Linked DNA regions of Elephas maximus indicus. The protein of the gene in region 2 purifies or fractionates together with the protein of the main gene of each other region. This does not show direct contact. Links are inferred from orthologs where the notes say so. Each region holds a gene or a part of one and is shown on either strand. Other genes may lie near its edges.

Region 1 (10,317 bases), on a different chromosome or scaffold from region 2:
TGATCCAATGTAAAGGGAGTTTCCCTGGGGTGTGGCCTGTACCACCTTTCCTCTCTCAAGAGATAAAAGGAAAGGGAAGCAGGCAGAGAGCTGGGGACCTCACCACCAAGAAAGCAGTGTCCGGAGCAGAGCACGTCCTTTGGACCTGAGGTTCCTGTGGTGAGATGCTCCTGGGCCAGGGAAGACTGATGACAAGGACCTTCCTCCAGAGCCATCAGAGAGGGAAAGGCTTCCCCTGGAGCCCGTGCCCTGAATTCAAACTTTTAGCCTATTGAACTGTGAGAGAATAAACTTCTCTTTGTTAAAGCCATCCACTGTGGTATTTCTGCCATAGCCGCACTAGATAACTAAGACACCACTACATAATAAAAAGTACTTGGATTCTAGAGGCAATCAGAAAGAGGGGCAAAGAAGGAAAGAAAGTGGTGGGGGAAAGAGCCAGATTTCAGAGCCTGGAGTTCCTGTCATCAGTGGTACAAACGTATTTTAAGGGTAGAGATGCCTAATACTCAATGATCAACACAGGCATTGTTACAGTATAAATCCCTCTTCTTCTCCCAAATCTCCAATAAAGCTTACCCCACCCACAAAGGCTTTATGTAAGAAAATATATTTCTTCCTATTTTTTCAAAGCTCCTGTTGGACACCTCTATCCAACAACTACATCGTGGACATCTCAGCTATCCATTAGTACCTCATCGGGTTGGTCCAAAACCGAATAATTATCTTCTCTTCCCCAACTCTACCATCAATTGTTTTTAGCTGCTCCTTCTCATATGCTACAATGTTCCACTAGCTTATTAATGTCATCATCACTAAAGGAACAACTAATATTTATCTGGCACTTAGAGTATACTAGGTTCTCTGCCAAGGGCATTTCATGCGTAATTTCATTTGATCTTCAAACCCTACTAGTCAGGCACTAGGCTCATTTCCTAACTATTAGGAAACCAAAGCTCTGGATAGCAACTCTGGTGATGATTGCGGAAGTGAAATTCGAACACTGTTTTGAATCTATAGCCAGCTCAACCAGTACACTCCAGTGCGTCGAGACAAAAAAAAAAAAAAAAAAAAACCAAGGAATCACCCTTCTCTCATTAATCATATCTAGTTGGGTTTGAGTCTCTTACCAAGTATAGTCAAGCATACCTTCTCAATGCCACTCCCACTGTCTTCATACAGAATAATAACTAGCATTTACTAAGTGCTTACTATGGGGCTCAGTGGTTAAGAGTTAAGCTGCTAAACAAAAAGTCGGCAGTTCAAAGCCACCAGCTGCTCCTTGGATACTCTATGGGGCAGTTCTAGTCTGTCCTATAGGGTCGCTGTGAGTCGAAATCGACTCGATGACAACAGGTTTACTATGTGCTAAGCCCTATGCTAGGGGCTAGGGAATGCACATGTTTGATCAAGTTTTATCCCCCAAGTCCTATGAGATGAAGAAACTAATGAACAAAGAGGTTACATAGTTAGTGACAGAGCCAAATTTAAATCCGGGCCATTTGGGTCCAGAATGAGGAGCTCTGAGGCTGGAACTTCCTGTAACAGCCTCCTACTGTGCTTTCTATGTCCCATCCAGATCCTCACCATCCTCTAGGCTATGGCAGAGATACAGGAATGCCCCACTTTTCTAAAGTTCCCTTTATGCCAGTTTGCTTTTATGAAAGACCTACGTTAGTACCTGTTTTCGCTAACCGAAAGAAATCAGAAGAGGATTTTCGCTTTCATGAAAAAAAAAAAAAAAGGCAAAAAGCAGAAATAGCTTTCGGTGTTTGTTTTGCAGCAAACCCTTACAGAGGTAGCGTGTATTCTGAGCAGTGAGAGTGGCGTCACCAACTCCTTCCCTGGGAACTACACTCAGCATCAAGTAGCCATAACCAGGTTACAGGGGCTTCTACCATCACCACCACCACCTCTCAGCCTTCCGGTATGTTCACTGTCTTCCCGATTCTGCTAAGTGAAACTACACCATACATTATTTCTACTTTATACAGGCAGTGTACTTGTCATATCATTCCTGCTTTTACTACATGTTAGTGTTATTTTAGGCTTTATATGTTATTTGGTATGATTTGGTAGGTTATTTTTTGGGTCTGGGAATGTGCAAAAAATTTTCCATAGAAGTTAAAGGTAATTGCTTCTTTGCTTTATGCCATTTTAGCTTACAAAAGGTTTCACAGGAACACTCTTCTTTGGAATAGCAGGGAAAACCTGTATCTTTCTGGGTATGGAAATGTTATCATGACACTGTCCAAATTAACATTAGCAGCTCTGTATCACTGACTGAATAAAGTCCAAATTTTTTAATTTGGTTTACAAAATGCTTCATGTTTCTGTTAAAATCAGTTTACGAAGTATTTGACCGCCCACTGTGAGCAATGCAAAGTGCTAACTGCTCCAAAAAGAGTAACGTACCAGCCAGGGGCTACTACCTGAAACCCAGACACTGTCCTTCAGCCAGACTGACCATATGCAGGCTTCATATAGCAACACCCCAAAGATACAAGTATTTGCAAGTGGCATATATGTTAGTTCCTCTGCCTAGAATATAGTTGGCAAAATCCTAACCCAACCAGACAGAATTTGCTCCCTCTTCTGAGTTTCTGCACCACTATGTTCAAATTACCTTCAGATAACTAATAGAACACTGGTCTGTATCAGCTTCCAAATGAGACTGTGAGCAACTCCAGGGCAAGGCTGCCCCTGGCCATCAACACGTGGCATGCAGTAGTATGCCATCCTTTGATAACTGAAGAAAGAATGAAAAATTTCTAACTTGATGAGAAAAGGAGAGGAATGAGATACAAAATTAGGAATGTGAGCACATCAGTGGGCTGAATTACAAATGGGTTATTCTACTTTGGTTCAGATTTGGCCTACATTTGACCCCTCTGGGAAAATGCACATTTGTGACTTGGACCAACTAAAAAGGCAAAACGTTGTTACTCATGGCTCAACAAAGCTCTGACAAACCAAAGAAGATACCAGATTCCCCTCTTCCTTCTTTACTTGCCAAAGTACATTTTCCAAAGTGGGGGAGGAATGAGGGTTGGAATCAAATCTACCAAAATAAATAAAATTGATCTACTGAGATCCAGCTCCATCAGCACTTAGTCACAGCACATGCAAGAGACAAATGAAAATCTATCCTGGGACGAAGGCCAATTTACATTAAGTACTATTGATGCAAGAATACGGAATTCTTAAAGTGAAGGCAGTGCCAATAATACATAGTTCCCAACTGTTTTCCCCTGCAGAACTGCCACTGCACTTGATCTCACCTCGTCTCTGATCTCTGTGATTTCAAAAGAATAACCTACACAGTGAAGCCCCATACAGGAACTGACTTTAGCTTCTGGAAGATGTGAACATCAGGATGTACAACCTTTAATACAAACTGAAACACCATAAGAAACCCTACATAGAGGTCAAAAGTCCTTGGCTTAAAACGTGGAAAAAAGCTTCGAAAAATGAGTGGTGTATTTCCTAAACCGTGCTTTGCACGCAGCTGCTTCCAAATCAAGATCTGTACTTTGAAATTCCCACCTCGAAGATGGCAAATCGTTCTCCCACCCCCTGCAGCCTAAACCGAAAGGTAAGAAGAGAACAGGCAACAGGCTGGGACAGGGGTATGCGCTCTCCCTGTCTCTCCCTTTCCAGGGGAACCAGATCGGATGCGAAGGCAGCTCGTACCACTCTCATCCTCCCCTATAGCACAGGTACGGGAAATAAAAAGCTCACCCCCACCTCTCCCCTCCCTAAAAAAAGCAAACGACGCCGAGATCAGTAACGCAGCGGCCGAAACCACCCAAGGGGACCAGCCCGGGGCCGCCCGCCGCTCCAGCCGGCACCGCCGCAGGGCATTCGGACTTCCGTCCCGGACAAGCGCGGCCGGCCCCCACGCCGGGTCCGCTCGAGGGGCCGGCAAGTGCGGCCCAGGTCCCCTCCGCTACCGGGCGAGCGAGGGAGCAGACCCGCGGAGGGCGCGGCTCCACCAGGCAGCCAGAGCGCCGCCGGCGAGGGGCGCGCCGGGAGGGGAGGCTGGGCGCCGTTCCCGGTGCGGCGGCTCCCGCAGCTCCCTGCACGCGAGCCTCCCGCCCGCGCCAAGCGCGCTGGCACCTGAGAGAGCGGACGCGGCGGCGGGCAAAGTTACTTACTGGGAAGCACGGCTGTCCGGCGCGCTCAGCTCCCGGCGCCTCAGCCCCGCGCTGGCTCCCGCTCTCCGCAGCCCGCGGAAGGAGCGGGAAGCGAGCCCGGCGCCGCTTCGCCGGGAATCGCCGCCGTGGCCGCTGCCTCCAGCCGCCGCCGCGGATTTCCTGGCAAGAACCAAACTCTGGCCAAGACTTCACTTCTCAACCGCCCCTGCTGTCTTCCCGGGGGCGAGCGCCGGGGCCGAATCGCCCAACCTGACACGCACCGGGGCCAATCCACGGCCGCCCAGGGCGGGGAAGGGGCGGGCCAGACGGCGGCTCCACCTATCCGAGTGCGCCGGGGGCGGGTCAGGAAGGGGCCGTCACTCACGGGTTAGAGTGAGCCCGCTCGCCGCCGTCCCTCCCCCACCGCGTCAGGGTTGTCCCCGCCGCCTGCCTGATTTCCCTGCTAAAGACGCGGTCGGGAAGTGTCTCAGCACGAGTCCCCGATGCCCGAGTGCCGCAAGGAGAATGGGACAGCTGGGGGAGAGATGGAAATATAGGGAAATCTGGAGGGAGGCAAGAACAGGTGGTGCAGGAAAAAGAAATGTAGGTGTGCTGGGAGAGGACAGCTGGGGTGTGGACAGGGCCTGACGGGGGGCAAGGGAGGTGCTGGGAGCGGAAGAGTGGGAAGGGAGAACCGGTTATTGACGAACAAGAGCACCTGAGCGGACGAAGAGACGCGAAACGAAGGAAGAAAGCGGGCGGAGAGCTCCGATTCCGGGTGGTGAAAGGTTGCAGAGGCGGGGGCAGGGCACCTGGGAACAAAGGTGAGAGGGAGGTTCCGCAGGTGAGGTTGTTTAAGGAGCCAAAAGGATAAGGGAGGAAAGAAGCCCAAAGCGGGGATGGACGTATTCTAGGGGTAGAAAGGGGGAAAACCAGTTTTCTTGCAAACTCTCACTCCCCCAAGATAAAGGCAAACGCGTGTCCTTTGGCCTAATCGAGACGTTGTGCAACTGCAAGATCTCCGACGAGACAAATACTGTCTGAAACCATTTTGTTTGAAATTCTTCTCTTTCCACATTACCTCCTTCCTTTCTTAAAAAGTGTATTGATAAACTTAATGCGATCTACAGAGACCTCAGTACCCGCTGAGTGCTCCTAGGGTCGTCCCATGAAAGCCCCTTGAGGGTTGGGGTGCCGGGAGGGGCCAGCCTGGGAGCAACACTATCCTCATGGGTCTAACAGCAAGACAGAAAGAGGCCTGACTCTTAAGAAAGGTGATTAGGGGGCGGCAGGTGAGGCCCCGCCCCCTTGGCCCTCACCTGGGGGAAGGTGCCCAGGGCTGAGCTCCGGCATACACCGGCCTGTATCCGGCCTCACTGTAAGGCCTTCGCCGGACCCCACCTCTCCGCCCCTCCCGCTCTGCGGACAGGCTGCCGGGGGAGCACCAGGTGAGCAGGGCGGGCCTCGCGCCTTCGCCCCCCTCGCGCCGGGGGCGGGGCCGGGGCGGAGCCTCTAAGCTCCGCCCAGCGGCCGGGCCCTGCCGCGCCGAAGCGGCTCCTCCTCTCTCCTTCCGTCTCCCCTCCTTCCGTCGGTCTTTCCTTCCTGCTTCGCCTGCACGTTGCGCGGTATGGGGCAGAGCCTCCGGTCCGCCAGCACCGCCTGAGGAGCCCGGAACCTGCCGCCGCGATGGAGGACGACCAGGAGCTGGAGAGGTAACGGCCCAAGAGGCGGGCGAGCGGGCAGGAGGAGCGGGCTGCGCTCGGGCCGGAGAGCCGGTGGCAGGAGGCGCGCGGCCAGGCCGGGGCCTCGGCCTCCGCGCCCGGCCTGGCAGGATGGGCCTGACCCGGGGCTCCGAGAAGAGAGGAAAGGGGGATAGACGTGGACGCCTGGGTGGAGAGGGGGCCCGCCATGGGGAAGAGAGAGAGGGTGAGAGACATGGATGGCTTGAATGGACACGCTCCGTAGACTGGTAGCTATCAAGGAGGGGAGACAAGTTATGAGACCAGAGCAAAGCCCCCGAGCTGCTCCTCCCGCCTTAGAACAGCAGGAATAAATAAAACTAACGGGTGACATTCCGCACCAGGCCACTGTTCCCGAGTGGATGGTATTGGGGTGTTCGCACAGACCCAAGCAAGTCCTGTGTTTACTGCTCCCGAGCTTCTCTGTGCAGACTGTTAGTAAAGCCACTTCTCTATGTGCTGAGTTCTTTTTCTCCCTCCTGCTTGACTATTCTCAGACCTTCCATTCCTCTAGTTTCCTTACCTCTTGCAAATGGAAGCCATAGCTGGGCCTGCATGTCGATAATCTGTGGACTTAAATCTGACATTTACACTTAAGCAGTATTTTTTTTCCTATCACTTTCGGTGCCCTCTTCATCCTCCAGCAGGGCCCACCCTATTCTAATCTTATCTCTTTCTTGTGACTCTACCAAAATAATATTTTAGCAAACATTTATGCTTGTGCCTTAAGAAGGCTCTCCTTGTGTCCCTATGGAGGGTCAAATGGAGTAGGGAGAAACTGGAGGCAGTAATTTAAATATTGGTTAAATGAATTTGCCGAGGCAGGAAAATAAGAGACAAATAAATAGTTCTGTGTGGTTGGAGTGGATTAGAGTAAAAATGTGTTGTAATTGTGATTGGTAAATGAAAAAAAGCTAGTCATGAAAACTATTCAGTATGATCTCATTTTTATAAAAAATGTGTGTGTAGAAAAACACAAGGATCGAAGACCTCAGTGGCTGAAGGCGAGAGGAAGACTGCCCTGGAAATGGTCCAGGCAGCTGGAACAGATAGACACTGTGTGACATTTGTATTGCACGAAGAGGACCATACCCTAGGAAATTCTCTTCGTTACATGATCATGAAGAACCCAGAAGTGGAATTTTGTGGTTACACTACGACCCATCCTTCAGAGAGCAAAATCAATTTACGCATTCAGACACGAGGTGGTCTTCCAGCCGTTGAGCTGTTTCAGAGAGGCCTGAATGAGCTCATGAGTGTCTGCCAACATGTGCTTGACAAGTTTGAGGCAAGCATAAAGGACTATAAGGACCAAAAAGGCAATCAGAAATGAGTCTACATTCTAGCCCCTTATGCACCATATGACAAGGATACTCTAGGATATTTTCTTCACGATCATGCACAACCCAGAAGTAGAATTGTGTGATTAAAGCATGATCTAGCCTTCAGAAAGGTGTGCTTCTAGCTATTGACCCATTGCAGCTGTTGGATTCCCTGCAAGTATTTTTGTATTCTTTTGAATAAATTCCCTCTTATTTAAACTGGTTTGAGTGGTTTCTGTTATTTGTAGCCAAATGATACCCAAGGATGAATTTTCTTTTTCTTTTAGCTGAGCCAGTACTGATAGTGAGGAAACTATAAGGAAACCAGGCCTTAGACAAGGACTTTGATCATAGGACTTAAAAGGAGTACACATTCATGGCTGTGATTTGGAGGAGGAAGGGCAGTAGAACATAGCCCCAGATAGACTGGTTGATTGAAAAAAAGGAAAGGAAAGGAAAATTTGGTTTCTTGATAGATATATATATATAGATATGTATGTGTGTATATATATATATTTAGAGAATTGCAGCCTTTGCAGTATTGGGCAAGGTTGGGGGATAATTTGAAAGAATTTTATGAGTTTTGCTTTCCCATGAGAGTTTTAGGTGGTGTCAGGCTCCATCTTTGTGGGAGCTCTTATAGAATAGATGCCAGTTTCTTGCTTGAATTTCAGGATACTGATAAAATATTTAGTCAGAAATGCCCTAAGTATAAAAGTGATAGGAGAATTTGGAAATGAATAATGGTGGTGGTTGAACAACAGGATAAACATAAATAATGTCACTGAATTGTACACTGAAGAATGTTGAAAAGGCAAATGTGTTGTTACATATATATTTACCATAAAAAAAAGAAAATGACCTAAGTTGGCCAAAAGGTTTTTATTATATCAAACTAAACTCATTACTGTTTAGTCACCTCCAACTCATAGTGACCCTATAGGACAGAGTAGAAGTACCCCAGAGTTTCCGAGGAGCATCTGGTGGATTCAAACTGCCAACCTTTTGATTAGCAGCTGAACTCAATCACTATGCCACCAGGGTTTCCAAGGAAGAGAAAACTGAAATGTCTAGGTAACCTTTTCAGTTCTTAGATAGGTCTCTAAGAATAACTCAGGTTTACGTAGAAAAAGCATCGTTCAAGAGAAAGTAAGAAGGAAAATTCTGTCTAGGGAAAATAACTTTTCCAGAAAACTTGAAATATTAGTGAATCCCATCCAAAATCTGTCCTGTCTACCTCTTCAGTTTGTCTCTTGTGCCTGTCCCACCCCCGCCCAGCTCGACTCTTCATTGACCCTAAATACATGTCAACCCTTGGACCCAAGCACTCTAGCCTCCATCCCCCCCTCCCCCGCCGCAGTGCTCTTTGGGGCCTTTATGTTGTTCCGCTTCCTGGAACACTTAGTCCCTCCGTACTCTAGGTCAAAACTTACACATCAGACTCCCCATCCTAGTTTGGGTGCTTAAGTGCTTTCATTACACCCTATGTTTCCTTGTCTTAATGTTTATTGTGCTACTGTTAGTGCTTTTATTTGTCTGTCTTCCTGGTATACTAACTCGTGATCACATTGCCTGGCGTAATGCCTAACCGAGAAAAAAACGATAGTGGACATTTAATAAATACTGGATGAACCTATGTATGTAATTATGGCACGTAGCCTTTCATTCACTCAAATCTACTAACTTGAGTGAACTTGTGGGAGCCAATACTTTGAAAGATGAGAGTGATGTTAATGAAATCAAGAGGACAGAAAAATGTCAATTGGAGTTAATGTTCTGGAGGTTTTTGGGCAATGGGCAACATTAGTGCCTAAGAAGGGTAAACAAACATTAGCATTCATTGAACAAAAGAATGGCTTAGTTTGGGTTTCCCAATAAAGAAAACACACAAAGGACACTGGAGAGGTAAGTTTAGATGGGAGCAGGAATGAGAAAGATTAAAGACATGGAGCAAGGATAGGGAATATTCTTTGGGTGACAGTCATGGATTCTGGAAAACCAATGTCAGTTTATGGGAATTAGCACTCAAAGATGCCCTAAAGGGATAGGTGGAAGAGGTTCAAAACCTTCTCTGCCTCTTACAAAATTTTGCCTATGAGTAGCCCTATGGGAATAGTAAACAGAGTTTAGTACCTCTGAACCAAGGCCTGTTGGAAGATGTAAACAAAACAAAAACCTGTTGCCGTCAAGTCAATTCTGACTCATAACAACCCCATAGGGAAGAGTAGAATTGCCCCATAGGGTTTCCAAGGAGCAGCTGGTAGATTCGAACTGCCAGCCTTTGATTAGCAGCCTGACTGGTTAACCACTGCACCATGGTTCAATAAGTCAACCTAGAGGCGTAGAATGATACAGGCTGAGTCATTCTTACCAGTACCCGTGGGAAAGACACCCACTGGTGACCACTGATGCATCACGTGACTTCATTGCTTCAACTGGGATTTAGTGTCACTGATAATGTGGAGTGCTGTCTTGAATCTGTAGGTGGCCAGTGGAAGAAAATGAGCACCTTCAGAAGGCAGAAGGGGGAAAACTGAGGGCAGGCAAGATAACCAAAAGGCACATCTGGAAGGAGGAAGGAATCTTACTTCCATAAAATCTGTAGAAACCTGAGGGAAGACTGAATTGGTCAAAAAAAGGGTGAGGGAGATGGACATGAATTGTATGTAAGACAACATATGATATATAACATATATGTTGTCATAAATATATGTGCAGAGAGCTGCTCCATAGGGTTTTCAAGGCTTTGACCTTGCGGAAGCAGAAACATTGCCGGGCGCCTCTGGGTGGGTTTGAATTGAACTTTTCAGCTAGTAGTTGAGATACCTGTGTGTGTCTGTATGTGTGCACACACGTGCATACAAAATAACTCGAGCAGTATCTCTCTGATTTGCTCCGTAATGACATTTCACTCGAAATGAACTAATATTAATGATCAAGATCAGAAATTGTTTTTGGCTTTAAAGTAATGAGTCAATTATTAAATAATATGATTATATACCAAAGGCTTTTAAAAGATAATAATTCTTAATACTTGACTAGCACTTCCCATTTTCAAAGCACTTTACAAACTATTTATAAATTGCACATAGCTGTAACATCTAAGTACTCTGATAATTG
Region 2 (10,121 bases):
GTGTCTCTCTGCTCTCTTCTTTCTTTTATATCTCAAAAAAGATTACCTTAAGACACAATCTTGTAGATTGAGTTCTGCCTCATTAACATAACTGCCGTTAATTCCATTTTGTTAACACCATACCCACCGATTTGTAACACATAGGAAAATCTCATCAGATGACAAAACGGTGGACAGTCACACATACTGGGAATCACAGTCTAGCCAAGTTAACATACATTTTTGGGGGACACAATTCAATCCATAATACAGACACTGAAAAATCTTGTCCAAAGTTAGTGACTAGTGGTTGACAGACGGGGGTTTGAAACCAGGCTGGATTATTGCACGATGATTCTTTATAGCCTTCCATGAAGCAATGCCCCCCACCCCGCCACCCCATCACTATGGGAGGCAATTTGTTGAGGACATCAGGGTATGTCGAAAACAAGCACTGGCTTTGAGTATGGGCTCAATCACTAACCCATTATATGGTCTTGCACATACTGCTTAGATTTTCTGAACTGCAGTCCCCATACCCCCCAAGACTGGTGATAGGTCTTTTAGAATTATTTAAGGATTTAATTTGTAAATGTCAATTGCCCAACACATAGTGAACACTCAGCAAGCAGTATTACAATGTACATTATCTATAAACCAAAACCAAACCAAACTTGTCACCGTCCGGTCAATTCCAACTCAGAGTAGAACTGCCCCATAGGGTTTCCACGGAGTGACTGGCAGATTCGAACCGCCAACCTTTTGGTTAGCAGCGGAGCTCTTAACCACTGTGCTATCAGTGCTATTTCTTATATTAATATCATTTATTTAACATGAAATAAGGGAAAGGTGGACACAGATCAACATTTCACCTGAAAGGTGAGGTCATTTCTGGTTATGACTCTGAATCTTGAAGCCCTTCAACCAAGTCATGCAACATGTGTTTAAACTTAGGTCCATAAAGCAAATCACGACTTGATTCCGTATAAACCACCTGCCGTCCTTTACTTGTTCTGCTTCTTCTGATGCCAAATCTAAATTTCTGATTCTGTGACCCCTGCCCTGATTGCAGTTTCTGGCCCCTGCACTTGAACCTGAGACCTCATTTCTCCAGTTGTCAAGCTTTGACTGCTACCCCCACTCACTTCATTGTGGACACTTGGGATTGTTTAATAGGACTCCCTACGCCTGAATTAGGCAGTGAAATCTAAACTCGGTCACTGAGCCAGCAGCTGCTAGCGACACAGTGACTTCAACAGTGTCGATCATCTCTTAAAGAGACATATGCTCAAATCAGAAAGAGAAATTCAAAGGAAGGATGTTGGATAACTAATGAGAAAGCTTGAGCTTCCTTTTCCTTGAATGTAAACAGGTCAGAACATCTAGGAGGTCATTTGGAGGGAGACAGGGAGCTATAAGGAGGAACTCAGGCAAGATTATTTTTTCCTTGCACTTGATTGACGGAAGTGGACCAGTGAGCGACAGAGAAAACGAGTTCTGTTATGAACAATTCCTGCCCTTAAATGTCAGATATGTAGTTTCCCTGTGTGTGCTGGTAGTCTCCTTTTTTCTTCTTTTCAATCTCTAGTTCAACCTATTCAACTATGCCAAGGAACAACAGAGAGAGAAATTTTATTCAGGCCAGAGCCAGCATTGTTGGTATCACCCTAGAGCTGATACAGTGCAAGCCAGGAGGAATCACACACGCACGCACACACAAAACACCAAAGGAAAGTGATATTCAGAGATTCCCACTGCCGTCGAGTTGATTCCGACACATAGCAACCCCACAGGACAAAGAAGAACTGCCTCACTGGTTTCCCAGGGCAGTGTGGAGTGGCTGGTAGGTTTAAATCACAAACATTTCGGTTCACAGTAGAGCATTTTAACCGAGCGACTTAACTTTAAACTCAGAGGGGTAAAACAAAATAAAAAACTCGTTGTCGTTGAGTGGATTCCAACTCACAGTGACTCCAGGCGTTACAGAGTAGAACTGCTCCACAGGATTTTCTTGGCTGTAATCTTAACAGAAGCAGACTGCCAGGCCTTTCTTCTGTGGCACTACTTGGTGGAATCGAACTGTCAATCTTTAGATTAGCATCGAGCAAACATCACTCACTTTGTACCACATAGTTGCTTTCATTTAGTCATCTGTGTTTCCCACCCAGAAATCCCCATTTTAGTGCAAAACTTGAAGTTACAGATGTTTATTTTACTAAGGAAACTGGCCTTTACCAAGAAACTTCTTCCTCTGTAAAGTTCTTCAGAGTACCCTGTTGCATTATTTCACTGCTGGGAGTCTTTCAGTCTGCACGAAGCCCACTGTGCCCCTGGATAAAGACCGATACATTACTGTAATAATTCCCAGCGCATAGAATAATTAAGAGCACCCTGAAGCTGAAGGAAGGAATCCGGATACAATGCATTAATATGCATCTTCTTTGGTCTTAAGACCAAGAGAAATTTACTCTTAAGTGAAAGTAAATTGTGCATCAAAATATACCACATCTCAGTTTTATTTTTATTTACTTTCTATCCTCAAACTTTTCCTACCATGTTCTTTGGAGACATTTAATGTCAGGGATCTGGGACTTCACACCCACACAAACTCTGCAGCTAGCAGGTGGTTTATTAAACTACAGCTTTAAAATAACCTTCAGAAAATAAAAAGGAAACTGTTGCTGACTTATTCTGCAGTGAGCTGAAGACAGATGGAAGTAAATGAGAATTTCCATAGGCGCCTTTTCAAGCACCATGGCTAATTTTACCAGCCAAACGCCTTGGGTTTGAAAACCTTGAAAGAGAGGTGTTGAAACTCAGTTGCAGTAAGGCCAGACTGGGGAGGAAATAGGGCCTTAGAAGAAATACTGACCTTGGTTTTCATAACAGGACCGTAAATTACGTAAAAAGGGCCTCATACCCCCAGAAATTAGACCTTTCTCTTCTGATTTTCTTTACTCTTTTCCGACTTCTGGAAACAATTGTGAATTGCAATTACACATGTGCACACACATATTTTCTAGTTAGTTTTGTCTCATTTGTTAAGTTAGAATTTAAAAAATCACTCTAAGGCTATCCCTTTCTGTACTATCCAAAGGGGAACATAGGCCGAAATTCATTCTGTGTAACAAACGTGTGAGAATGAACTTCTTCCTTTCTGGGTGTTTGTAAATTGTGTACCATTTTATGTTCATTATTTAGCAATCTTTACTGTGTTTTAACACTAAAGCAAATGAAACAGCTCATCAAGTGGTTGTTAATTATCAGTGTGTTTACATCAATTATACCTGAATAGAAACAATCAATTCAGGGCCTCTCCCCTGTATTTCAGGCCTCTTTTTTTTTTTTTTTTTTGACAGGCACTGTTTCTCAAACCTCAGCAGGAATTACATTCACCTGGAGAGTTGTTTACATGAGATTGGTGGGCTCCAGCTCCAGAGTTCTGCTTCACTAGCCTGTAGTGGGGCCTGAGAATGTGCCTCTCTAGTACATGCCCAGGTGCTGCTGATGCTGTTGGTCCAGGGATTTCACTTTGAGGACCACCAATAAAAGCACGCCTTATTTAAGGAGTTGGATCTTAATTTATAGACAGAGCCATTGGAATTACTTCATTTTTATGCATGTACAGCAACAGCTACCCTTTGTAAAATGCCAGATCTATGACATCCAATAAGATGTAGTATATGTGCTCCGTTATTGTTTTTCCCCTTCATTGTTTCTAAGCCTTCTATGAGCATGGTGTATATCAGTTAAGGTCTACAATTTAATAAGCAAGTAGGAGAAACTTTCAGAGTCAAAAACGGATCCTAAGACTTTTTAAAAAAAGATATTGTTGCTAAAAACAAGCAGTCAATAAACAGCTGCTCGATCTTTGCCATTCCTACAGCGTCTTGGTCTAAAGCGAAACATCACAATTTTAAAGTTCATGTTTGCCATCTGGTGACACACTTGTGAATTGCAAGTGGTCTGCGTCAACCAATCAGAAAACAAACAAACCTGTTGCTGTGGGGTGGATTGATATTATAGGACGGAGTAGAAATGCCCCGTAGGGTTTCCAAGGAGAGACTGGTGGGTTCGAACTGCCGACCTTCGAGTTAGCAGCCCAGCTCTTAACAACTGCCACCAGTGCCCCTCATGAACCAGTAGTTTTGTTACATATCTTTGTACAGATTTTTGTTCATTGTTTCTTCATTTCCAAAATCCATTAGGCACATTTCACACATTTTTCCCTAAAAGCGCTGTATTTCACAATTCATTAAATGGCTAACAGAAGACGATTTCCCTAACTGGATATATTTATTTCAAACAACTAGTTTGTATGAAAGCTGTTTTAATTCTTCATACGGACCAACAAAATCACAAATTGTATCTCAGAATGCATAGTGCATATATAGAATAAATTTTTTTAACAAAATATTTTAGGGAGATATAGCGAAATTAAATTACTTTAATCTGAATCAAATATTACATACATGATTCACTTATAATGGCAGTACACCGAGGAGGAGCTGAAATAATTATGCTAACAACACCAATCATAGCAAGGATTCATTAAGTTGCACATAGTTCTCTATGAGTTGGAACCGACTAGACCGCACCTAACAGTTAACACCGAAGCAAAAAAAAAAAAAAAAAAAAGATTTGGAGCCAAGACATACTCCAGGTTTTATGCATTCTTTAAATCTTCCTCTAAATTGAGGGCTCTAATTTTTTTTTTTTTTTATATATATATAGGGTTTATAGGGTCGCTATGAGTTGGAATCGACTCGACAGCACTGGGTTTGGTGTTTTGGTTTACCTGGTTATTCATTCAATAAGGGCATATATGTTCCTGGACCCAAGCTCAACTTCAGGGTCTTAGTTAGATTTAATTAAGCATATTATATTGAGGCACCAATCACGAACTGAAAAAAAGATATATTGTTGAGCACTTACTACAGGTCAGTCACTGGGTTTAGTACTCCACTATCATTATCTTGCTTAAGCCTCACAACTTCACTGTTTCATCTTATCTTTAAATTACAGGTAAGGACGTTGAAATTTAAAAAGAGGAAGCAAGTTTCTCAAGGCGCGAAAGCCCGGATTTGCACCTGGCTCCTATCAACCATGCCATATTGCCTGGATTGCTTTCTACAAAAGCGCCAGCACTCACTTTGGCTAAAACTTGTGCTTCTTCGACGCGTTCCCAAGCTGCTCTAGAGTGTCCTGACCATTAGGCCAGGTTTCCACAAGCAGAAGAAAGCCTGTTCTGTAGTTTGAGCAGTGAGGATGAACACAAGTCTCCTACTGGAGAGAGATTTCCGCAATTTGGGGTGATACAAGCCTTGGGGTGGATTAAATCGTAAGAGAGGTCTCAAAGGTGATAGCTGGGCTGAGCCACCTGGAAGGCCGTGGTATAGTTTGCTGAATTAGCGATTGTAGAATCCGGAGAGAAACTGAACTGAGAGACACCGAGGGCTCACTTTCAGGTGTGTTGCATTTGAGGATCTGAGCTGCTTTTCGGAAACCCTGGTGGTATAGTGGTTAAGTGCTACGGCTGCTAACCAAGAGGTCAGCAGTTTGAATCCGCTAGGCATTCCTTGGAAACCCTATTGGGCAGTTCTACTCGGTCCTATAGGGTCGCTATGAGTTGGAATCCACTCGACGGCAGTGGGTTTGGTTTTGGTTTGAGCTGCTTGCATAAAACACACTCCATAGACATTTATTGGTATATTACTGTACCGTCGAGGTTTATAAAACCCCATGACTACTAGCAATGATCAAGGTGGGACCCCCCCCACTAAACTTACACAGGACATCACACAAAACCCAGTGCATTCAAGTCAGTTCCAACTCATAGCGGCCCTATAGGACAGTCCTAACTGCCCCATAGAGTTTCCAACGAGCGCCTGGAAGATTCGAACTGCCAACCCTTTGGTTAGCAGCCGTAGCACTTTGGTTAGCAGCCATAGCGCTAAACCCCTATGCCACCAGGGTTTCCCTACGGGAAAGAAGCTAAAATAAATACTGTTAACCTTGCTGTCCAAAGCCTCGTTATTTGGCCTTCGCGCATGCTCAGCATCAACCAGTTTCGTAGCAGGCTGGCTTCGGAGCACAGAAAAGCGGTTGCCCCCTGCTGGTCAGTGCTCCGTAACGCAGCCCGAGAAGAGGAAATTGTTAGAGGCGGGGTACCTGTGGGATGACGTTTAAACAAGTCGTCGAGGGGAGAAAGCAGTTGTTCCTGCGTCAGTGGCGCGCGCCGTGGGAAACCTGACAAGCCTCATGGCTGCAGGTTGTTCGGCGGTACCGGGGCCAAAGGCTGCCTCCGAAGGGCCGGTGGTGGGACCGGCCGGCGTCCTGCCTTGTCTGGAGCTGCCAACCTACGCTGCCGCTTGCGCGCTGGTGAGTAACCACTACTCCTGCCTGGTGGCCGGGCCGCACCGGAGGCACATCGCGTTGTCACCGCGCTACCTCAACAGGAAACGCACTGGCATCCGAGAACAGCTCGACGCGGAGCTCCTGCGCTATTCGGAGAGGTACCAGTATCTTTGCTTTTTTCTTTTACTTTGGGGACAACGCCATAACGTAGCCTGAAGCCCCTTCTGGGTAGAGGAGGAGGGAACGGCGAGTGGTCCTGTCGATGGCGCAGCAGAAAAGGGGCAAATGGGGAAAGTCGCAGCTGCCCAACAGGAACTAGCTCCGGGGCATTCTGGGGTCCTGATCTACCCCCCAAAGCCAGTACCTGCCTGCGTGGTCGAGATCTTTCCAGGGCCCCTTTCGTAGTCAGGAAAGAAGACTGAAAGATGAAGTGATTGCCGTGGATTGGGGGGAGTGGAGAAGCTCACTCCTTAACAGTCTAGGGTCTGGAGACCTGGTAGATCAAGTTTCTTTGGCAATGAACGCATCATTTAGCTCCTTGCGGATAGCTTTCTCATTGGTCAAATGAAAGTTTGGAATGCAGTGCCTCAACAGAGTCTATGATTCTACAGAAAATTGCACGTGAAGCGTGAGCACAATCGTTTAATTATAAAACATAAAGGACGTTTTTGTTGTTTGTTATGTTTGCACTGATAACTACCCGTATTCTCTTCCCTTGGATCTAATCGGGCACGAGGGAAATACCATTAGTTTTGTTTCGTTTTTAAGAGCAATGGAAGCCTAACTGGTCTGCCTATTGCTCTTGAGGGGAAAAGCCCTCTGGTTCCTTTAAATTAAGGTGTTGAAAAGTCCTCTGAAAATTGAAAATCTACAGGTGGAAGAAAAATGCGCCTTAATACTCGACTAGACTACTTTGACTCAAAAACATGAGTTCTAAAGGTGAGGTTAATGGATTCTCTAGGAACTCATAGTAGCCCTTCAGGAATTCCATGACACCACCGCCGCTCCCCAGTTGCAGAAATTTCCTGTGTGAATTTCCTTGGGGAAAATATTCAAAACCTTTAACACTTTCTCCAGGGATCCTGGACCTAACACAGGTTAACAATCAATCACATCCATCAATCTTGTACAACTTCCTGCAAACACCAGCAAACATTTGCCCTGGCCCTACTGGCGACCTGGAAACCCTGGTGGCGTACTGGTTAAGAGCAACAGCTGGTAACCAGAAGGTCGGCAGTTCGAATCCACCAGGCCCTCATTTGAAACCCTATGGGGCAGTTCTACACTGTCCTATAGGGTTGCTATGAGTCGGAATCCTCTCAACAGCAACGGGATTATACTGGGGACCTGGTATGCAAAAACAAAAGCTAGATTCTTGTTTCAAGGAGTTTTAAGATTTAATAGAGGGATATAAATGTAAGCCAAATCTAGTTAAGTGTTAAAATTTGACATAAATCTCTATTATGTTATAGTAAGAAAAGGAGTGTGAGTTGGATTTTGGGAGTTTTGAGAATGACTTGACAGAGGGAGGATACTTTTAGATGGTAGTATTCCAAGTAAAGAGAGCGCCATGAACAATGAATAAAACCAAAATCCAGACCCATTGTGATGGAGTTGATTCTGACTCACAGCAACCATATAGAATAGAGTAGAACTGCTCCCTAGGGTTTCCAAGGAGGGGCTCATGGATTCGAACCGCTGACCTTTTGGTTAGCAGCCTAACGCTTAACCACTGTGCCACTAGGGCCCCAAACAATGGATTCAGATGTGAAATAGTATGCTGTGATGCAGGAACTGTAAGTACTACACAACTGGAATAAGGTTTTTATATCAGGGGAAAGCTATTGGGGTGCACTTGGAGAGGAGAGGAAGTCAAAGATGGGTGACTCAGAAAGGATCGTCATGTTTGCCTTTCTCTCTTTTTTTTTTTTTTGTTCTTGCTTTGTTTTGGGTTTTCCTTTCTTTTTTTTCTCAATGTGCTTAAACAGGACTAGCAGTTCATCCAACTCTGAGACTTGGCATACACTTGAGAGAGTCCCTGGGACATCATCAGATTTGCAGTTTTAGCAACCATACTTAATAGCATTAAATGATGGTTTAAGAAGGTTTAGGCAGTAGACACGGAGACCAATTAAGAGATTATAATCATTACAGAGAAAAATTAGAGGGGGTGGATTTGAGAGATTTGAGGATATACAAGGTGACATACATAAAATCTGGAAACAGACAACCATTTAATGTATTTTACTACTTTTCATAACCACTTAATGCCTTCACTTGACAGGGTAGGGGAAAGTTACCCTGCGTGGCTCAGGCAGAAGCTATTACACCAGAATGATTGCATAATAATTTAAGGAACCTATTAAATGATAATTTCTGGAACTGTTTTGGACCATTTAGCCATGTGGAGCAGGCTGCATCCTAAACAGACCTGCCTCACCCCTTCAGTTACTTGTGAGGTATGCTAAAGATGCAGGTTTATTCAGTGCACATCAGTTACAAGTCATGTGAGGCAATGTTAACACATGTATGTGTAGAAAGGCTTCATTAATGTGCCTAGTTCATGGTGATTGATGTCATGTGGTGAACTGTGCATTGCTACTGAGTGACAATACATTGCACATATCATGGGTTGTGGCATAATATTAATAAACCACTTATTTAGTATAGTTGTTTATGTTTTCAGACTTAATGGCCACCCGATACAATCAGGTAGAGGCTGAGGAAAGGGAGGAATTGAAAATGGCTCTCAAATTAGTTTTTAAGTCCTCTCAACAGTATTCCCTCACCTTTCTTTTCCCAGTAACGAGGTTTTTTTTCAAAGGTATCTCATTTCAACTTTGGGCTGTCTTTACTTAGACAAAGTAAGTAGTTTTCTAACATTGTGTGGCTTCTAACTTGTGCCTTTAAGGCCATTCAGAAAAAGGAGAGGGGAAATCTATCTGTGTTCCATATGACAGCTCTTGAATTAATTGACAGTGGCAAGTATGTTCCTCCTAGAAATTCAGATAAGTCTTAAATGTGTACTCTAAGCATCCCTTAAACTTGATTTTTCCCTAAATATCTCAAGTGAGGCAATCACGCTGCCTGGAAGCCTACTTAAGAAGGTTTCAGAAAAACAAAAGGAAAGAAGGAAAAGATATATAGTGTTGGAGTATCTGTCTTTGCATTTCTGGTGACCTTTAGTAACTTATATACTTTGAATTGCTTTCCCAAAAGTTTGATGGATTTATACAAATCTTTTCTACACCTAGGCTCTATTGTCACATTATCTTGTCAGCAGCTCCTCCTTTTTATAACTAATATTTTGCAGTGCCACCTTTACTATCTTACGGTGTCCTCTTTACTATGCAGAAATAAAATGTAAAGATAATATAACCCACCTACACAATTTTACGGAATCCCTGGCTGGTGCAGATGGCTAAGTGCTAGATTATTAGCTTAAAGGTTGGTGGTTTGAACCCACCCAGAGGCACCTTGAAGACAGGCCTGGCGGTCTGCTTCAGATAGTTCACAGCCTTGAAAACCCTGTGAAGCAGTTCTGCTCTCCGTACACGGGGTCACCATGAATCAGAATCTACTGGTCGGCAGCTACAACAACAATGCAATTCCAAAAAAAACTACGTGGCGCTCTAATACGATATAATAAAATGTATTTCAGCATGCTAATGCTCAGGGATGACTACACGGAAAGACTGAAGTGGTTAGATGTCGCATCAGAGACATGGGGACTGCGTCAGTTACACATGGGGGCTGATTCAGGTGTTTTGAATGCACAACTCAGA

What was found. Proteins that work in one complex are often made in the same cells at the same time.
Region 1: the proteins of POLR1F (region 2) and protein POLR1D-like purify together in Homo sapiens (affinity purification with mass spectrometry; 3 studies listed by BioGRID and IntAct, counting the BioPlex papers as one, with this or other methods). This does not show direct contact. The link is inferred for Elephas maximus indicus from reciprocal best matches to the Homo sapiens genes POLR1F and POLR1D.

The regions. Positions count from the first base shown.
Region 1 is NC_064841.1:59,712,123-59,722,439, forward strand, and holds the start of protein POLR1D-like, read left to right. Parts: upstream 1-5,763; 5' UTR 5,764-5,822; coding exon 5,823-5,848; intron 5,849-6,844; coding exon of another isoform or gene 6,845-7,208; exon of another isoform or gene 7,209-10,317. Other genes in the region: POLR1D (DNA-directed RNA polymerases I and III subunit RPAC2), read left to right, coding at 5,823-5,848, 6,845-7,208.
Region 2 is NC_064826.1:80,613,011-80,623,131, reverse strand, and holds the start of POLR1F (DNA-directed RNA polymerase I subunit RPA43), read left to right. Parts: upstream 1-6,167; 5' UTR 6,168-6,240; coding exon 6,241-6,494; intron 6,495-10,121. UniProt on the Homo sapiens protein: Component of RNA polymerase I (Pol I), a DNA-dependent RNA polymerase which synthesizes ribosomal RNA precursors using the four ribonucleoside triphosphates as substrates.